3 linked regions of the Oryctolagus cuniculus genome follow. The protein of the gene in region 1 interacts with the protein of each later gene in a pairwise test. Links are inferred from orthologs where the notes say so. Each region holds a gene or a part of one and is shown on either strand. Other genes may lie near its edges.

The links.
Region 2: the proteins of TXLNA (region 1) and KRT20 interact in binary tests that used the Homo sapiens proteins (3 or more experiments, as listed by UniProt). The two-hybrid records come from large-scale screens. The link is inferred for Oryctolagus cuniculus from reciprocal best matches to the Homo sapiens genes TXLNA and KRT20.
Region 3: the proteins of TXLNA (region 1) and CCDC136 interact in binary tests that used the Homo sapiens proteins (3 or more experiments, as listed by UniProt). The two-hybrid records come from large-scale screens. The link is inferred for Oryctolagus cuniculus from reciprocal best matches to the Homo sapiens genes TXLNA and CCDC136.

What each region holds. Positions count from the first base shown.
Region 1 is NC_091438.1:140,273,063-140,277,232, forward strand, and holds the start of TXLNA (alpha-taxilin), read right to left. Parts: upstream 2,935-4,170; 5' UTR 2,767-2,934; exon of another isoform or gene 2,740-2,766; intron 2,625-2,739; exon of another isoform or gene 2,410-2,624; 5' UTR 2,220-2,409; coding exon 2,054-2,219; intron 1,562-2,053; coding exon 1,223-1,561; intron 1-1,222. UniProt on the Homo sapiens protein: May be involved in intracellular vesicle traffic and potentially in calcium-dependent exocytosis in neuroendocrine cells.
Region 2 is NC_091448.1:21,698,114-21,701,757, forward strand, and holds part of KRT20 (keratin, type I cytoskeletal 20), read left to right. Parts: exon of another isoform or gene 1-413; intron 414-717; exon of another isoform or gene 718-992; intron 993-1,305; coding exon 1,306-1,462; intron 1,463-1,802; coding exon 1,803-1,964; intron 1,965-2,159; coding exon 2,160-2,285; intron 2,286-3,223; coding exon 3,224-3,444; intron 3,445-3,644. UniProt on the Homo sapiens protein: Plays a significant role in maintaining keratin filament organization in intestinal epithelia. When phosphorylated, plays a role in the secretion of mucin in the small intestine.
Region 3 is NC_091434.1:164,999,859-165,003,502, forward strand, and holds part of CCDC136 (coiled-coil domain-containing protein 136), read left to right. Parts: intron 1-2,357; coding exon 2,358-2,469; intron 2,470-3,374; coding exon 3,375-3,543; intron 3,544-3,644. UniProt on the Homo sapiens protein: May play a role in acrosome formation in spermatogenesis and in fertilization.

The sequences.
Region 1 (4,170 bases):
TTTGCTGGTTCAATGCCTGCCTGCACCGCTGTAGCAGCTTCTCCATGGGGGTGGGATCAACTCAATCCTGCTTATCACCGCGGCCTCAGTGCTGTCCACAGAGCCAGCGCAGCACGTGTCCCACAGATGCTTACCAAAACCTCTTGGAATTCCTTCGGGGGGGGGGGGGCACCACTGGTGGGAGAAAAGCTTGTCTGCCTCCCAGCAGATAAAAGGTATCCCACCTGCAAATTCAGGGCTACTGTTTCAATGCAAAGTGGGGCCTTCCCAGAGAAGCAGGATCCGAAAAGGTCTCCTGGCCTCCGTGAGAAATCTATAGCCCTGTGTACGAGGCATCCAAACAGGGAACCTTATAATGAAGAGACCTTCAATGTGTGTTCCCATGATTCTTTAAAAAAGTTCCTCTTTCAATTAGGGTGACAAGTGCTGGGGGCGGGGGAAGGGCGGCGAGACAGGGACTAGGACACAAGTCCAATGTCATCTAACCCAGATTCTTAACAGACACGAACTCTGCTGTCAAAAAACCGTCTCTGCCACTTCCCCACTGCCTGTGCCCAGTGGGGGGCCTTTCCCCAGGGGCTGCTGACCAGGCTCCAGGCTGCTCAGCCTGCGGAGGCCCGAAGACACCAGCACAGAGATGCCAATCACTGGCACACAGGCCAAACCCGGCTCATGCATGGGTTTTGTTTGGTTTCTACTACTGAAATCTACAGATTTCACCAGACTCTTGATTTCTGGCTTTTCTTAACAGAAAATAAAATTCCAGCTGCACCCAGTCTGAGGTTCAACACGCTCTCAACTGACGAGCTGGCAGCAGGCACAGTGCAGAGCACTCAAGGAACAAGGCTGCAGTCCACCCTGGGCAGAAAGCAGGCCCTCCCTCGGTCCTGGCTTACACAGACGTTTGCGTTTGCAACTTTGGCCTAGCCCAATCCTCTCCTTGTAGAGAACTGGAAACTATTGCCCAGGGCGGGGAAAGGACATGCCCAAGGTCACACAGCAGGGACGAAGCGGTGTGGGCAGGTACAGAGCCCATCCAAACCTCTCCGCTTTGTCCATGAGGATCAGGCTCCATTTCACTTGCTCCCAACCTGAACGACTCCGGCCTGTGGCTGGAATACCCTGCGCTTTGAATCAACCAGGGAGACTCCCTGCTGCACAGCCCAAGGAATGTCAGGTGCAAAGCCCTCCCCACAGCCCCCCGCAGCTGCCCTCTGCTCACCCAGACCCTTGGCCTTCTTCTTTTCCTGTGGCCTCCGGTGGTCTCGGTCTCCGACCTCATCGCTCGTCCGGATCTCTTCCGTGCCCGGCTCTGCCTTGGAGGTCTCCTTCTCGCCATTGACTACTGGGGTGCCCGGCTCCGGCTCCCCATTCCTTGCCACATAGGCGCGAGACTTCTCTGCATCTTCAGGTTCAGGGGGCTCACCCTGGACCCCATCCTCACCCGGGGCCCCCTGGTTGTTGTCCACACAGTATGTACTGAGTATGTCTTCCAACTGGCGGCTCAGCTCCTCAGAGACATCACAGAGCGCCCCAGGCTGAGCAGTTTTGGCTTGAGCCCCTAGGGCAGGAGAGGACGAGAGGCAGCGACAGACGGCAAGGTTAGACCACCACCTGGGATCGTGAGCCCAGCCAGCCTCACTGGTTCAGGTTTAAGGTTGCCCCAGCTTACTTAATTCTCGCAACCTCCCCAATACAGTTTGTTCAAGCATAAAATAAGTACGTACGGCACCTGGGACTGCCATGTCGCAGGAGGCAGGCAACTCAATGTTTCGTCCATTCCCCTCCCTCTAAAAGCCCCCGCTTGCTATGCAAGCAGCTCCAGAAATGCCTCGACAACGAACCAAGGGCAGTGACCCACACTGGTGACCGAGGTCCTTCGGATGGAACCCGGCGTCACTGGCTGAGGCCTCAGGTGCCGGCCACCTGCGAGAAGCCTGCAAGGGCCTCCCCTCCCCAGAGCCTGGGATGCTCCACATCCCCGCTGCCTCCTCCCTGGGCCGGGCCGCGAACTCCTCCCCCAGGCGGCTGGAAACGCAGAGCTGGCACACACCCTCCGGCCTCCCGGGAGCCTGGCTGCTGGCACCTTCGGCTTCTCGGGCGGGGGCCGGCCGGCCGGGCCGCCCCTGGGCTCCCTCCGCTCCTGCTTCCGGCTGTCCCGGGCTGCTTTTGGGGTTGGGCTGTTTGGCAGCCCCGTTCTTTTTGTCTTGATTCTTCATTGTGCGCTGCCACCTTAGGTTGGGATTGGATCCTTGAGAAACACAGTTGCTATTTTCCACAGAATTCTTCGCAGCCTGGATCAGAAATCACAGCCCAGGCGCACCTTCAACGGAGGGAGCCAACGGTTCTCCCGCTGTCCGGCCGGTCAGGGGGCCTGGCGCACCCCGGCGGGTTTCCGGGGCGCTGCTCCTGGAGCGGGTGAGGAGAGAGGCCTCCTTGTTCCCCCCGAAGCCACTTCCCGGCCCCACACGGCCCCTCACGGCAGGCCCGGCGCGGGATTGGCTCCCGGCCGCAGACTGACGTGGCGGGACGCTCGACTCCGACCCCTCCCCCCGCGCCCCAGGTCCCACGTGGGCTCCCGCGCCCGCGCGCACGCAGCCACCCACGCCCCGCGCGCCCTCCAGTCGCGCGCATGCGCACAGCGTCACCCCGACTCCCCCCACCCCCGCCGCCGCCCACGCGCAGAAATCGGAGCAATTTCCCCGCTGGCCGAAAGTGTCCAGGTCTGCAGGCCCTCACCGTCCGTCGTCCCGCCGCTGGGCTCACCTCACGGGCGACGTGCGACCGCGTCCCCAGCGCTGGCCTCGCACCGGAAACCCTGGGTAACCGCTGCCGGCAGAGCCGCCTGTCCGAGCCACAGCCAATTAGTAGCCGGCGCTGGCGCGGAGCTTGCCGGGAGCCGGGAGCGAAGGCGGCCTCCAAGGCGGGTGCATCGGGAGGGCGGGGACAGGAGCGGACTACACGTCCCACCATGCATCGGTCGACACAACTCCCAGGATGCTCTCGTCCTCAGAGCCGCGGACTCCGGAGGGCTGGGGAGCCGGTGGTTCTGAGCAAACCTCCACGTCAACCTCGCCGGTGTCGTGCAGAAGCCCTGTGCGGCCCAGCCTCACTGCGCCCGCGTGCCTCGGTCCACACTCCGTCAGTCCGGGGACTCCGGAGAGGCCTGGGCTGGGAGGCAGGCCTGTGTTCCAGGTCCGACTTCATCCCTAGGTGCCACGCGACTGGACGTTCTTTTCTCTCCCTGCCTCGATTTCCTTATTCTGACGCAGGCTTTCAGTGACCGTAGCGGTTCTCTGAGCACACCCCGTGTGCTTCCCTGGTCTCTTAAAAGCCCTGGCCTCCTAGCTGCTGGAGATAAGTACTATTTGTCATTCCCATTTAACGGAAGAGGGCTGTAAGGCTCGCGTTAGACAGCTCGCCCACGGTCACAGATGCTGGGTTCGAGCAGTGGTTCAGAACCTGACTACTCCGCTACCCTGCCTTTTACTCAGAAGAAATAATCACCATTGCAGGCGTTCTCCAAGAGCCCGGGTAACTTGTGAAAGGTAGTTACCCCCCCCCCCCCCCAATAAGCTCGGCAGTCCCGCAGGAAGGGGCAGAGGGGTCCCTGCAGGGGTGTTTGACCTCAGGCCCATTCCTGAAACTTCTTCGTCCCATTTTGTACAAAGTCCTTGTGGTACTAGGGCTAAAACTGAAAAGGCCAGATTTTTCTCCAAAGGTGGGATCACAATTTTTTAAAAAGATTTATTTATTTATTTGAAAGGCAGAGTTACACAGAGAGGAGAGGCAGAGAGAGAGAGAGGTCTTCCATCCGCTGGGTCACTCCCCAATTGGCCGCAACCGCCAGAGCTGCGCCGATCCGAAGCCAGGAGCCAGGTGCTAGGAGCTTCTTCCAGGTCTCCCACTGGGTGCGGGGGCCAAGGACTTGGGCCATCCTCCAGTGCCTTCCCAGGCCATAGCAGAGAGCTGGATTGGAAATGGAGCAGCTAGGAGGTCTTGAACTGGCGCCCATGTGGGATGGCGGCACTGCAGGCACCAGCCCCGAGGTCACAATTCTTTATCACCGCTGCTTATAGACGTTGGAATAAAACCCAGTACTCTTTGCACCTGGAATCTGAAGAGCCTACGTGGTTTGGCTTTTGCCTCTTCCATCCAATCTTGGGTTTT
Region 2 (3,644 bases), on another chromosome or scaffold:
TGGTTTCCTCCCACTGGAACGTTTGTTCTTAGTAACCAGTAGTCCACCTCTTCACCCACTGGACCTAACTCTGCCCTTTGGAGTAATGACGAGGCAATTTACTACTGCCTTCTTCCTACGTGTCCATCTGTTATCTACAGAGAGCTACACGCCAGGGCAGACCAGGGAGACCCCAAGGGTCTCCACATAAATGGCCCACGTTCCAAGGGTGACTGCTGACATTTTCTTGTTTGTCTGTGTTCTACAACATGAGCTGACCAATCAAAGCGGCAGGACCTGTCTGTGGCTAACATACTTCAGACTGTGCTCACCTTCTGTGTGGTCCCCACGTCGTGTGTGCTCACAGCTGTTCCTCGATGGACTTCCTCATGCTGCACTTGTGCACGCAGTAACTCCAAAGTCCCCTTTATATGCTACAAGGGATTTAAAAAAGGGAAACGAGGAAGTATACGTGAGCGCTGAATCGGTGAAAGCTCATGCATCCACCTTTACCAAGTCAGCATCTGGGCCTCCACTGCATCACCATTTTTTATATTTTGCTGTTTTTAAAAAATGAGCATATATAAGTTTGCAGAGGAGACCATTTGGGATAATTTACTTTAGATGCATCTATCTACAAAAGTGATCAAAATACATTGATCAAGTTCACTTATTAAGTAAAGCTAACCACTATTTCATATCAATAACAGAACTCTTGGGGCCGGCACCGTGACTCACTTGGTTAATCCTCCGCCTACGGCGACAGCATCCCATGTGGGCGCCAGGTTCTGGTCCCGGTTGCTCCTCTTCCAGTCCAGCTCTCTGCTGTGGCCTGGGAGTGCAGTGGAGGATGACCCAAGTGCTTGGGCCCCTGTACCCGCATGGGAGACCAGGAGGAAGCACCTGGCTCCTGGCTTCAGATCAGTGCAACACCAGCTGTGGCAGCCATTTGGGGAGTGAACCAACAGAGGGAAGACCTTTCTCTCTGTCTCTGTCTCTTGCTGTCTATAATTCTGTCAAATAAAAAATAAATAACAGAACTCTTTAATAAAACAGCAATTAAAACAAATCTTTAAAATTTCTTTTAAAATATATTCTAGAATTGAGAAATTTATAAAAATTACATCAGGTCAACTTCTTATAAATCACTCCAAATCAGAGATTATGTGAAGGAGGAAATTGTCTGGTTCCTAGGTTCTCATACGCATTTCATGAGGGAGACTTTATGAAGCCCTGGAGTTGATCTCCACATAGACCATGTAAAATATATCTGCTTATTTCAGATTTCACAGACTCAGTTATCTTTGCATATGCATTAATTTTCAGGTTTGAGTCTGAGAGGGCGATACGCCTAGCGGTGGAGGCAGACCTTCAAGGCCTGGGTAAGGTTTTTGATGACCTAACCGTAAAAAGAACAAATCTGGAGGTTCAAGTTGAAGAACTGAATAACGACTTGGCTCTCCTCAAGAAAGAACATCAGGAGGTGAGAAAATACTCAGGTGTGGCATTGGGAATGATGGGAAGGCTTTACTAATGAGGAGGAGGAGACACAGAAGAAGAAGAGCTGCTGGTAGCGCTGGTGACGATGACACAACAGTGGATGACACAACAGTGGTGTCGGTTCTTATTTCTTGTCACAAGGTTGCTGCCCATTACATGACCTGGAGCAGTATGTGGACACAACCAGCCTTTCCTAAGTTATTACTTCCTTTCTTTCCCACTCATTCCCAGTGAACAAAATAATGAGACTTCTTATGCCTCTTCTGCCCAGCCTGCCGAGAATATGCTTCACATAAAACCCACCAGGATTTTCACTCTCCTAGGAAACCGATGCCCTACGCCGGCACCTGGGCAACACCGTCAATGTGGAGGTGGATGCAACTCCAGGCCTGAACCTTGGCGACATCATGAGTGAAATGAGACAGAAATACGAAATCATGGCCCAGAAGAACCTTCAAGAGGCCAAAGAACAGTTTGAGAGACAGGTACAGCATCGTCCTGAAGTGTGAGCAGGCTGTCCTCCACAGAGACACAACTCGTCCTTCCCTTCTCCTTCCTTCTCTCTTTCTTTTTTTCTTTCTTTCATTGCTTCTTTCCCTCTCTCCCTCTGTCCTGCCTTCCTTTCTCTCTTTCCTTCTCTCCTTACTCACTCATTCTGTTTTTTCCTTCCTGGGTTTTAGACTGAAGCTCTGCAGCAACAAGTCACAGTGGACACTCAGGAGTTAAAAGGAACCGAGGCCCAAGTGACGGAGCTGAAACGCACCTACCAGAGCCTGGAGATAGACCTCCGATCGCAGCTCAGTATGGTAAAGCATACCCACCTTCCGCTTCCCAAACCCCAGTGAGTTGACTAAGTGTCTGTGTTAGGGATTCTGGAGATGCAAAGACCTAGACAAAAGGAGCCATCTACTTGCGGAGCCCGTGGGAAAACAGGCTGAACCACTGACTCTAATCAAAAGACAGAAAGCAACCTAGGAAAGGGCACCATACCGCACAGAAGCAGAGGAAAGAGTAGATCTGGAAAAGCCCACAGTGTGGAGAGCTTTCCATTTGAGATGAACCTTTAAGCTAGAAGTTAGGAGTAGAGATATTACAGGCTAAGCAAATCAGTCTGCCCACGGTAAATTATGCTGTGGTAACCAGCAGCCCTCAGAATCGTAACAGCAACAACACTGCACCCATCACAGGTCGGCTACAGCTCCAATCCATGACTTTCACTCCCCAGGGGCAAAGCTAAAGGAGCAGCCCCGCTCTGGGGCAGGCCAATGCTGTGGCAGAAAGAAAGAGAAATGGCCAAGACATGGGAGAGCCCTGCAAACTTCTCACAAAAGGCATTTCTCAGTTTCACCAGCATTTGCTTAGCCAAAGAAGTCATGTGACCAAGCCTGGTGTTGATGCGCTGAAGAAATCTAATCCAAACCGCCAATCCCAGGGCCAAGCCTGAGGGAGGGGGAGGGAACCTGGCCTGCTGATAGGGTGGGAAAGCAAACACTGAGGATGGTAACACAGTGCACCACACTGAGAACAGTGGGTGCCAAGCCAGAAACAAAGAAAAAAACCAAGAGCTGGTGATCCCAGCTGGCAGGCTGTGGTTGCCTAGCGAGAAAGTGGGAAGCAGAGCTATAAACACACGTGAGTCCCCCAGGCTCCAGCTGCAGAAGTACTCCTCAAAAAGAGTTTAAATTGAGCCACTTCTTACACCAAGTCCCTAAATAACAAAGCCCTCTTTTTCTTGTGCTCACAGAAAGAATCTCTGGAGCACACCCTAGAGGAGACCAAAGCTCGTTACGGTAACCAGCTGGCCACTATTCAGGGCCTGCTAAGCTCTCTGGAGGCCCAGCTGATGCAGGTTCGCAGTGACACAGAACGCCAGAACAATGAATACAACGCCCTTCTCGACATAAAGACTCGTCTTGAGCAGGAAATTGCTACTTACCGCCTGCTTCTGGAAGGAGAAGATGTAAAGTAAGGATCATTAACATGGGCTGTGTGTATCAATGTCTAGATACTGTCCTATTTTACTGTCCTTGCTACCCATGACCCAATGCAATCCCTAACACAAAAGCAATTATACACATACCACTCACAACAACAAAAGTACACCAAAAAGTACACACACACCCAAAACACCAAATATGGCCTTTGTACCTGAGGTTATGTGGTAG
Region 3 (3,644 bases), on another chromosome or scaffold:
GAGGAGGGGAGAGAGCCGGGTCACCTTGGGAAGCCACCTGCTGCTCTGGCCTCATGGTGCTTTGCCGGCTCGTGTCATGGGGGGCCCGGCCCTGCTTCCCAGGCTCCGGGGTGCTAATTCTGAGGCTCCTCTAACCCTTCCAGTGGGGAAACTTTAGGGCCAACAGATCAGAGCTCAAGACAGCTGGAGAGGAAGATTATTTCCAGTAAAATATGAGGCACTCAAAGCTTCAGCCAGTGAGGCGCCCAGCTAGTTGCTAGGATTCGCGACATCAGAGAGCCTGGACTTCCGGTCTGAGCACAATGGAGGCCCTATATTTGGCCAGGCCAAGCAGAGGCAAGCAGAGGCAAGCAACAAGGAATCTAAGGCCTTCAAGTTTGCCCGGCCATGTCCAGCCTCTGAGAAGAGCTGGTGGTGCAGGGAGAGGGAGGCTAGCGCAGAGGGAAGGGCTTGGGCTGGAGTGAGACAGGGGCAGAGTGCAGAAACACAGCTCCACCCCTCAGCACCGTGAACTCCATCTGGTTATCATCTCTCGCTGAGCCTTGATCTCCACAGCCGGGATGGGGAATTCAAAGTGGCGAACAAGGCCTTACAGCGAGGTGGGGTTCTGGAACGGTAAACGGTAAGAGGGCCTTGGGGGAAAGTGTAGAGAAATCTGAATCCAGTGTGGAGTGGAGTGAACAGTAATTGCCAGCCTTGATTGCTGAGTCATGCCACGTGTCCTGGGGTAATGAGATGTTAACAGTTGGGGAAACCAGATGAGAACTCTCTCAGGGAACTCTACTGCTTTTTTTTCTTTTTTTTTTTTTTAAGATTTATTTTATTTATTTGAAAGATAGAGTTACACAGAGAGAGAAAGACAGAGAGAAAGGTCTTCCATCTACTGTGCCGATCCGAAGCCAGGAGCCAGAATCTTCTTCTGGGTCTCTCACATGGGTGCAGGGGCCCAAGGACTTGGGCCATCTTCTACTGCTTTCCCAGGCCATAGCAGAGAGCTGGATTGGAAGTGGAGCAGCTGGGACTAGAACCAGCGCCCATATAGGATGTCGGTGCTTCAGGCCAGGACTTTAATCCACTGTGCCACAGCGCCGGCCCGGAATTCTACTACCTGATAATTTCTTTTTTCTACTACCTTTGCAACTTTTTAGTAAATCTAAAATTACAAGTTTATTTAAAGAGAAAAATACCGCTGCGAGCATTCGCGACCGCAGCCCGATCTGAGGCTGAAGTCAGACAGGGCTGGTTTCCGTTTTCTTCCTTCCTCCTATGGTAACCTGTGGTAGTCTAAGGACTCTGATTGGAATGGAAAGGAAACGTCAGAAGTGACGTTCAGGGCGGTGACGCTCCCAGCAGGTGAGATAGGCCTTGTGTTCCAAACAGAGCAAATCGGTGTTTGTTAAATATCAGTAGAATTCATGTTCTAGGAGACACAGTTCCTAGTCACGAGGGAACAAAACGTAGGGGTGTTTACATCATGATGACGTGACAAAAATTATCGCTAACTTGGCCTTAGGGTCAGTGGGGCAGTTCAACCTGCTCTGTTCTGAGGCTTGGCGCTGGTGATACGTGAGGCGATGGAAGATCGCTGGAGGACTGGCGTGGCGCAGCAGGTTAAGCCGCTGCCTGCGACACCAGCATCCCACCAGAGCATCGGCTCCAGTCCCGGCTGCTCCGCTTCTGATCCAGCTCCCTGCTAATGCACCTGGGAAAGCAGTGGAAGACGGCCCAAGTGCTTGGGCCTCTGCCACCCATGTGGGAGACCCGGATGGAGTTCCAAGCTCCTGGCTTTGGCCTGGTTCAGCCCCAACCATTGTGGCCATTTGGGGAGTGAAGCAGCAGATGGAAGACCTCTCTCTGTCTCTCTTTCTCTCTGCCTTTCAAATAAATAGCGTATCTTAAAAAACAATCATTTATTAAAAAAGTTAGAAAAAAATTCTTGACCACATCAAGACCAAACAGAGTGTTTGAAATGGTGATAAAGGAAGGAAAAGAAAGATCAGAACAGCTGGGTTGTCTGGCAGAGTTCACAGCTCTCAGCTTTTGGTTCTAAAGGAATCATAAACAACTATAAATACAGAACACCAGAAACCTAATCAAAGTCCCCCAAGCCCCCGGAAGCTCAAGACCCTGCTGTGGGCGGGGCAGATCTGCAGGACGGCCTCCCGGTGCTGTGGCATCTTCTGGGCCTGTCTTCTGAGCCTCTGGGAGTGGTGTCTCTTCTCTGTCTTCAGAAAAAGTGAAGCTGTTCCGACTTGTGCTCTCGGGTTTCTAGGCAGGAAAACGGGGTGTGGGGGGGGGTCCTCACCCGTGCTTCCCCCACCCCGAGGCACTCACCTCGCTCTGCTTGTCCTGTGCAGAAGAACTGCAGCAGTTGCAGGAGCGCTACCACTTCCTGAACGAGGAGTACCGGGCCCTGCAGGAGAGCAACAGCAGCCTCACGGGGCAGCTCGCGGATCTCGAGAGCGAGAGGTACAGCCGGGCGGCTGGAGGGGCGGGTGGGTGGGGCTTGGCAAGACTCTGCCTCGGGCATCCCTGAAGGCAGACACCGGGGGCACCAGTGTTCCTCTGATCCTGGAGAGCTGATCCTCTCCCTGATAGACCGCCTGGAGGCAGGCACAGGAACCCAGCCTGATGATCTCAGAACCAGAGCTGAATGGCTTCTGAAATTTAGCTTTCTTGGGGCCGGCGTTGTGGCGTGGCAGGTAAAGCTGCTGCCCACAACACTGGCATCCCATGTGGGCGCCGGTTTGTGTCCCGGCTGCTCCACTTCCAATCCAGCTCCCTGCTAATGGCCTGGGGAAAGCAGCAGAAGATGGCTCAAGTGTTTGGGCCCCTGCCACCCATGTGGGAGACCCAGACGAAGCTCCTGGCTTCAGCCTGGCCCAACACTGGCCATTGCAGCCATCTGGGGAGTAAACCAGTGATGGAAGACCTCTCTCTCTGTGACTCTGACACTTTCAAGCTAAATAAATAAATCTTAAGATTTAGTTTTCTTCCACTGTAGCTATCGGGGTCTGGTTTGCTCTGCCCGAGAGTAGGTTGAGAAGACATTCCTACACTGTCCATGCAGACTTGATTAGGTCTAATGGCTTAGCGCAGCCAGACTGGAGCTGGCTTGCCACCAGGCCCAGCCTTGAAACCAACTGGACTGGTACTCGTAGGGCCTCCCAGGGCCCACACGCCTCTGCAGAAGAGATCCTGGCGACTGTCCTCTTCTCCACGTGCTTATCTGGGAGGTGCATCGCGGCAGAAGGCCCCGCCTCTCTTCGGTATAATCTGAAGGCATAAGGATGGAGGCCGCTTGGCTAGTGGTCTAGCCAGGTTCGCTAGTGACAGAGTTCCTTCCAACGGGGCTTTGGGGTTCTGGGTTACAGGACACGGAGAGCGACGGAGAGGTGGCTGGAGTCCCAAACACTGAAGAGCATGACATCGACCGAGTCTCAGACTTTCGAGGCGGATTTCCCGGAGCCCGACCCTGGAATGCAGCTGTTGCGGCAGCAGCTGCTGGGGGCTGAGGAGCAGATGCTGAGCATGAAGACCAAGGTACGCGCGCACCGCGGGCAGGGGAGGGCAGGGGAGGGGAGAGGAGGGGAGGGGAGGGGAGGGGCGGCGGGCTCCTTCCACAGCTCCCTTTCACCTTCCAC